Linked DNA regions of Arabidopsis thaliana. The protein of the gene in region 1 purifies or fractionates together with the protein of each later gene. This does not show direct contact. Each region holds a gene or a part of one and is shown in the gene's direction. Other genes may lie near its edges. The genes, in order: SYP51 and SGR4.

What was found.
Region 2: the proteins of SYP51 (region 1) and SGR4 purify together in Arabidopsis thaliana (affinity purification with western blotting, with the first as the bait; one study listed by BioGRID). This does not show direct contact.

The regions. Positions count from the first base shown.
Region 1 is NC_003070.9:5,554,759-5,558,686, reverse strand, and holds SYP51 (syntaxin of plants 51), read left to right. Parts: upstream 1-1,842; 5' UTR 1,843-2,053; intron 2,054-2,072; exon of another isoform or gene 2,073-2,236; intron 2,237-2,326; exon of another isoform or gene 2,327-2,341; 5' UTR 2,342-2,346; coding exon 2,347-2,561; intron 2,562-2,656; coding exon 2,657-2,862; intron 2,863-2,953; coding exon 2,954-3,054; intron 3,055-3,133; coding exon 3,134-3,178; intron 3,179-3,372; coding exon 3,373-3,504; 3' UTR 3,505-3,844; downstream 3,845-3,928. Other genes in the region: AT1G16250 (Galactose oxidase/kelch repeat superfamily protein), read right to left, coding at 1-563, 742-1,317, 1,472-1,473. UniProt on the Arabidopsis thaliana protein: Vesicle trafficking protein that functions in the secretory pathway.
Region 2 is NC_003076.8:15,819,550-15,823,477, forward strand, and holds the start of SGR4 (Vesicle transport v-SNARE family protein), read left to right. Parts: upstream 1-1,743; 5' UTR 1,744-2,008; intron 2,009-2,458; 5' UTR 2,459-2,485; coding exon 2,486-2,579; intron 2,580-2,669; exon of another isoform or gene 2,670-2,888; intron 2,889-3,107; coding exon 3,108-3,166; intron 3,167-3,253; coding exon 3,254-3,442; intron 3,443-3,546; coding exon 3,547-3,717; intron 3,718-3,889; coding exon 3,890-3,928. Other genes in the region: GNL1 (GNOM-like 1), read left to right, coding at 1-361. UniProt on the Arabidopsis thaliana protein: Functions as a v-SNARE responsible for targeting AtELP-containing vesicles from the trans-Golgi network (TGN) to the prevacuolar compartment (PVC) and mediates liposome fusion. May be also involved in retrograde traffic to the cis-Golgi.

The DNA.
Region 1 (3,928 bases):
AAGATTCTTCCAAGGATACACAACCAATGATCGACCCACCGGCTGGAATGCACATTGGTTTGGTCTCTCTCCAATTCAGAGGTCTATCCAAAGGGTTACATACCCTCACAACAGGCAATCTCACAATGTCAAATCTCCCTGCCCCTGATTCTTCCCATTTAAGGACCTTACCTCCTATAACATAGAGTTCATTCCTTAGAGCTGCAAACCCATAACCGAAGGCTTCTAACTCTCTCGGATGATTAGGAAGAACAACAGAAGGAACTGAACCAACATTGTACCATTCCCCTTCATCTGTATCCCTAGTCTTGATCAAGCTTTCTCCCCAATCTACAATAGTATACACCCGATCATTTTTCATCACCTGAACAGCAAACTGCATGGCTCTAGAGAAAGGCCAGACATCCTCCACAGTGGACCAAGTCATGTCTCGTGGATTAAAAACTTCAGATGAATTTTGCTCTGCAAATCCCACCTGGTCACTTAAAACATGAAAGCAGCCTCTGTACGATAACCCCGAGCAGTCCATCTGTGGTCTAGGCATTGCTGGTAATTCCTCCCACCTGCAATACTACTATGTCATACTCCAGTTTGATAGCTTTTCAGGTGAAACATGAGAAAACTTTTAAAACTATATCTTGACCCATCATAGAAAAAAACAAAAAGAGTACATTGTGGGGTTAAATATGCCAGTTCTATCCTACACGAGAATATAAACCACATTAGTGTGGGAAAAAATACCTATCAGCGACAGGATCATAAACCTCAGCAGATGGGATTCCCCTGGAATGAGTTAAATTACGACCTCCAGCAACATAAACCTTGCCAGAGACAGAAGTACAAGCAAAGTGAGTCCGTGGTGTTCGCATACTAGCAACCATTTTCCATTGTTTCTTAAACGGATCAAACCGCATGACATCTTTAGTGACAACAGGCTTCTGATGAGGAAACGATGACACCGAAGGCGCATAACAACCCCCAATCACAAGAAGACAATTGGAAACACAAACACACGCAAAACCAGAATGATGCCAACCATCTTGAACAGCTCTAGTTCTAGGCAATGGATGCCATCGATCAGCTTCAGGATCATAAGCAACCCACTGATTCTTAGAACGTTCCGTCAACACAAACAACCAGCTCCCTGACCATCCATTTCTAGCTTTATAGCACGAGTAATCAGCACCACGAACTAAATCTCTCCAGCCTCTGGAAACACATTCGAGCACTCCATGATACCCATGAGAAAGCTTCGCTATGCATCTCAAAGCCAAATCATCAGGCAAACCTGGGATTATAGACTGCTCGATTGATTCCCTGAAAACAAGTTTCAGCCACTAACGATCAGACTTATTCAATCAATAATCAACATTCAATGTTTTAAGACAAAACATGATTTTGAAGAGAAAAGGTAAAGGATTGAGATTTAGATTCAACTTTGTGAAGGAAGAACAAGAGAGCTAACACTTACATGAACCGAATCGTACTCGAGAGATTGTAAATGTATCTTCTGATCCCCTTCTCGAACTTGCTTTAGAACACCAAAATCGCGCTTCAAAGTTTATCACTTTCCCGGAAACAAAAACACCATTAACGATAATCGAAACGGAAACTGCAATCAGAACGATATAGTTATGATGGAACTAAGCACAGTCAGAGAGAAACTCAGGATTCTGGCAAGGAAGAGAGGAGACGGAAGAAACAGGCATGAGATGGATAGATCCATTATAATGGGTCGAAAATTTAAATATTCTTTATTGATCCCTTCATTTATATGTTCTTTCTGCTTCTTAACGCATACTTTCTTAAATAACTAATTTAACCCATAACTTTTCCAAGATAACAAGTTAAAACCGCGTCGTTTTATTTCAGCTTCGTCTTTATCTCATCTTTCTTGCGACGGGCCCTGCTACCCGGTGCGTGACAGGTTGAATCATTCTCCTCCGATTCACGGTGATTCCGGCGACTACAGACTCAACATTTAATAAGCCGATCTCTTACATGGTACGAGCTCGGACAAATTGAAGAATACAAAGGTCCGAGAAATAATTTGGTAAGCAATTCGATCCTTTAAACGATGTTATTTTTGTCAATCCGAGTCATTGATGAGGGATTATATCTGTTACTGAATCTCTCTGATCTTCCCCTGATAATGGACTTCATGATCCTGTAAATTTCAGATTTTGAGCCTTGTGCCTCAAAATTGTAGTCAAAGGCCGCGTTTTTGTCTCAATTTGTAGATCTTTGTTGTTGTTTCTGTTGGATCTTACGTATATATCCTTGATCATTTTAAAATTTCAATGGAAGTGATCCAGGCTTTGATTAGCTTTTAATTATATAGGAATAATGGCGTCTTCATCGGATTCATGGATGAGAGCATACAACGAGGCTTTAAAACTCTCTGAGGAGATTAATGGAATGATATCAGAAAGAAGTTCATCGGCTGTCACAGGGCCTGATGCTCAGCGTCGTGCTTCAGCTATACGAAGGAAGATCACCATTTTCGGTAACAAATTAGATAGTCTGCAGTCTCTTCTTGCTGAAATTCATGGAAAACCTATGTAAGCCATTTACTAGTCCAATCCTAATTGCTTAAATCTGTAAATTAGACACCTTTAAGGTTAGTGTTAATCTGAATTATTACTTACTGACACAGTTCAGAGAAAGAGATGAATCGGCGAAAGGATATGGTAGGGAATCTGAGGTCAAAAGCAAACCAGATGGCGAATGCTTTGAACATGTCAAACTTTGCCAATAGAGACAGCTTGCTCGGGCCAGATATCAAGCCGGATGATTCCATGAGCAGAGTTACTGGCATGGATAACCAAGGAATTGTTGGATATCAACGACAAGTTATGAGAGGTAAAACCTCTCTTATCCTAGTAAACGTAATACAGATGTTGATTTCTGTATTTGTTTTTTCCTATTGAATGTTTTATTTTCCTGTGAGTAGAACAAGACGAAGGACTTGAGCAATTGGAGGGAACAGTCATGAGCACAAAACACATTGCTCTGGCTGTTAGTGAAGAGCTTGACTTGCAGACTAGGCTTATTGTATGTCACTAGCTTTTCATTTTTTCGCCTTTGATTTGAATTTTCGGATACTAACACATTTGGATTTTCCTTTATGCAGGATGACTTAGATTACCATGTGGATGTTACTGACTCTCGCTTAAGGGTAATATATGCTTCAACTCTTAAATATTTCAACAAACTAATTACTTTGGTGAATCCCAAGCTTTAGTTGATCCATACTTTCATTAGGAGTAACACTGATGTAATGGTGATCTGTTTTCGGTTTGCTCAACCAAGAACCACATTATGCTTAAGCTAATGGCTAATTAAAGACATTGATCTGTTATCTTATTACAGAGAGTGCAGAAGAGCCTTGCTGTCATGAACAAGAATATGAGAAGTGGTTGCTCTTGCATGTCAATGCTCTTGTCAGTGCTGGGGATCGTCGGTCTTGCTGTTGTAATATGGATGTTGGTTAAGTATATGTAATACCAACATCAGACAACTTATAAGTTCCTCTGTAGGTCCACTGGCCTCTACTCTCTATGTGAATGGTTGCAATGTATTTCCTCATTCCACATTTGTGGCTGAGCTTTTCATTTCTCTTCTGTTACCAAAACCCTTTAAGTAATATATAATGTGTGCAGTTATCACAGTTTGCTCTTTGCTGTCTTCATAAAGATTTAAGAAGTGGTAGCAAGTCAAACACAGAGACAAAAAAACAAAAATTATCTGTAGAATCTTCCACGAAGAAACTTGTCTGAGTTTGTTATAAGAAGAACATTGTGGAAATTTTGTAAAACACCAATATTCATATCATCATCACTGGAAACAAAATTCGCAAAATACGTATCTGATCCTTCATTTTATACATGTGTACTGTTTCTTAATCTCTACATTTGTAAGAGGCAAA
Region 2 (3,928 bases), on another chromosome or scaffold:
AGCTTTTCTGCAATCTCTTCAAGACATCTCACAGCAACCATCATTCTGCAGACTTTGGGTTGGTGTCTTAAACCGTTTGGAAACGTACATGTCAACTGAATTCAGAGGAAAACGCAGCGAGAAAGTCAATGAACTCATCCCGGAACTGCTCAAGAACACATTACTGGTAATGAAGGCGACGGGAGTTTTATTACCAGGTGATGATATCGGAAGTGACAGTTTCTGGCAACTAACGTGGCTTCACGTTAATAAGATCTCTCCTTCTCTTCAATCTGAAGTTTTCCCTCAAGAGGAGCTTGATCAGTTTCAGAGACGAAACGCGAAGCCTGAGGATCCTCCGGTACCGGGAAATGAGGTCTGAGACGGTTTTGGTGGAATAGAGAAAATTTGTTCTATACAGATGAAAAAGCTTAATCAAGGATATCAATTTTTTTTTTGCAGTATAGCTTTTTTGTTTTTAATATAGGGGGATTATAATACTTTGGAGTCTTGAGCTTTTGTTTTTTTTATGGAATGTTATGTTGAAATTATGGGTTTGATTGGAAATATATTTGGAGGCAATTTGGAAACTGCTGCGTCTATTATACAAAGAACTTGAAAAATTCAATGGTACTGACAAAGAAAAATGGTACTCATCAAAACCAGAAAAGAAAAGTAAATTTTTGGTCCAAATCTCACTATTTTAATAACATTTTTTAAAAACAAAGAATTAAGAACAAAAACAAAATGACCTATAAAATTTTGGACTCTAATTCTTGGCTTGTGTGACTTTATTAACAGTTAAATATTACAAATTTTCAAACTCTTAAAAATTTAAACTTTATAAAACGTTTTAAATATTTATAATTTATAAACTTTATGAAGTTTTAAATATTATAAATATTTGTTATAATTTTGAATGTTATAAATTTATAAACGAAAAGAACTTGAAAAATTCAATGAAAACGAGTAACGACAAAGAAAAATGATAATCATCAAAACCAAATCTCAATATTTTAATAACATTTAAAGTTTTTAAAAAACCCAAAAAATTAACTAGTAGGCCTGGGCATAATACCCGGAACCGAATATCCGAACCGAAAAACCCGAAAAATAACCAAACCGAACCCGAATCCGATTTTTAGAATTACCCGAATGGGTCCTCGACCTTACTACCCGAAAAAACCCGAACCGAACCCGAACCGAATCTAATACCCGTGGGTACCCGAATACGAATGTAACTTAAATATATTAGTTATATATATATATTTGTAATACCTCAAATACCAAAATTAAAATTATAAATCCGATTATACTAGATTTTTTTAGTAATTCATATATATTTGGATATATTTGGGTAAAAGTAACAAATGTTATAGTTTTCTTTTAGATAATTTAAGTATTTTGGTTACATTTGGTTATATTTGTATAAAAAGTAACCAATATATTTACGGGTAATTGGGTATTTCGGGTTGATTTGGGTATATATGAATAAAAAAACCGAATCTAACCCGAACCCAAAAATATTTTGGGTATTTTTGGTTATTTTTACATTTTTACTAAAATAACCGAACCGACCCAAACCCGAACCGAAACCGAACCGAATTTTTAGAATACTCGAATGGTTCTCAACCTCCTACCCGAATAGACCCAATACCCGGAAAAAAAAACGAACCCGAACGGGTACCCGAATGCCCACGCCTCAATTAAGAACAGAAAAAGAAAAAAACTAACTTTCAGTGACCTATAAAAGTTTGGGCCCTAGAAGAGTCTTTTCGCAACACCAAAAATGGCAGATCCGCAAGCCCAACAAGGCAGTGGCATTGCCAAAAGATCTGGACAAAAAAAAGGCCAAGTGGTGTACAAAGCCTAGATGTAGGATATAATTACTCAACCGTCGAACATATTTTCCATAGATCATTCATAGACGTACGCATCATCAAATCAATTCATCGTCGTCTTCCACAATTGTCATCACCGATCGATTTTCCGACTCCGACGTACCTCCTCTTCCCCGTTACCTTCTCAGGTCTCAATCTGGCTTTCTCTATTTTTCGCCTAATTCCTCTTTTTCTGATTGTGATTCTGCTTTCTAATTTTGATCCTAATTTTTTGTGCTTATACTCCGGCTAAACTCTTCCATTTGTTCCGATCACCGGAATTTTCGTCACTTATTCGTCATCCTTTTTCTCTTTTGATCCGTCAATTTTACTTTTCTGTCTTTTTTTTTTCTCCTTTTTCCCCGTGTTGACATTTCTTTCTTCTGTACGTGATCTAGTTATCTTAGGGTTTTGGACTGCTATACAAAACAATCAATTGATTTTAGTTTTATCTTTTGAATCGTTGTAAGAATTTCAATAGCCTAGTCTTGTTGATGGTTTTGGGCTATTGAATCTGTTCTTAAAGTTTCAGCTTAATGTAATCTGTTCTTAATCAGAATTAGGGTTCATCATCATTGTGTGTGTTGCTGATTCTGCAGAGTTTTTAGTAGTCTTCCTTTGGAACAATGAGTGACGTGTTTGATGGATATGAGCGACAATACTGTGAGCTCTCGGCGAGTCTTTCAAAGAAGTGTTCCTCTGCTATTTCGCTTGATGGAGGTAAAATTGTTACTCTAATCTTTTCTAAGATGTGATACTTTTCCTACTCAGGCATTGCCTTACCTTCCTTAAGATTTGAAATAACTAATTCTGGTTTAGCTTATGAATGTAACAATGTACGAATTAGAGATATCTTGGTTTGTGTTTTTGATGCAGAGTATTGTGCGATTTAGATCCTTTAATTACTACTTCGTTGTAAGGACATAGTATTGGTTTCTGATTACGAAGAGAGCTTGTGATTAGTATTGGTCGCTGATCATCGCCATTTTTTTACACTGGGGATACTTCGGTTTTTGTTTGTTACTGAGAACGATTCTATAGATAGTTTGGTTTGTGTTTGATGACTATAAACTTCTTGTCTCCTTCATGTGTTGCTAGGACATAGTAGTGTGCCTTTCTTTTGCTTTCTTTGGAGATTGTGATTAGTAGTGTTCGCTGATCATCGGGATTGTTTTTTTTCCCCTAGATGAGTATGCTCTGTTGATTGCATAGATAAAAATGCATTGATGATACCTTATTAATTTGCAGAACAAAAGAAGCAGAAGTTGTCTGAAATAAAATCCGGGCTGGAAAATGCAGAAGTATTGGTATGTGATATGCGTAACGTGAAGTTATAGAAGCTTCTCTATTGTCCATTATTCATTTTGATGCTTCTCTGTCCTTTTCTTCACCAGATTAGGAAAATGGATCTCGAGGCAAGGACCCTTCCACCTAATCTTAAGTCCAGCCTCCTTGTCAAATTAAGAGAATTCAAGTCTGATCTGAACAATTTCAAAACTGAAGTGAAGAGAATCACATCTGGACAGTTGAACGCTGCTGCTCGTGATGAGTTGCTAGAAGCTGGTATGGCTGACACAAAGACGGTATGTAAAGGACTCGGTAGTATTGTTTCAATTTTATCTCATCTCATATCTTTGCTATTAAAACGACCTATGATTTTCTTTTTTTATTGAAACGCTGAGATCAGGCTTCAGCTGATCAGAGAGCAAGATTGATGATGTCAACTGAGCGTCTGGGCCGAACCACTGACAGAGTCAAGGACAGTCGTAGAACAATGATGGAGACTGAAGAAATCGGTGTTTCAATCCTCCAAGACTTGCACGGTCAGAGACAGTCTCTCTTACGTGCCCACGAAACGGTATTGTCTCTCTGCAACACATTTACTCCATATTCTCAACGATATTCTGAACAAAGTGACAAAATAAGATGAGAATTAAGGGCTATATCATAAAGAAGACTATGTTTTCTTGTTTTCTTTATCAACGCTGGATTGATATCGCGCTAACCAAAATTTAGAACTCTGTTGACAGCTTCATGGAGTAGACGATAACATTGGAAAGAGCAAGAAG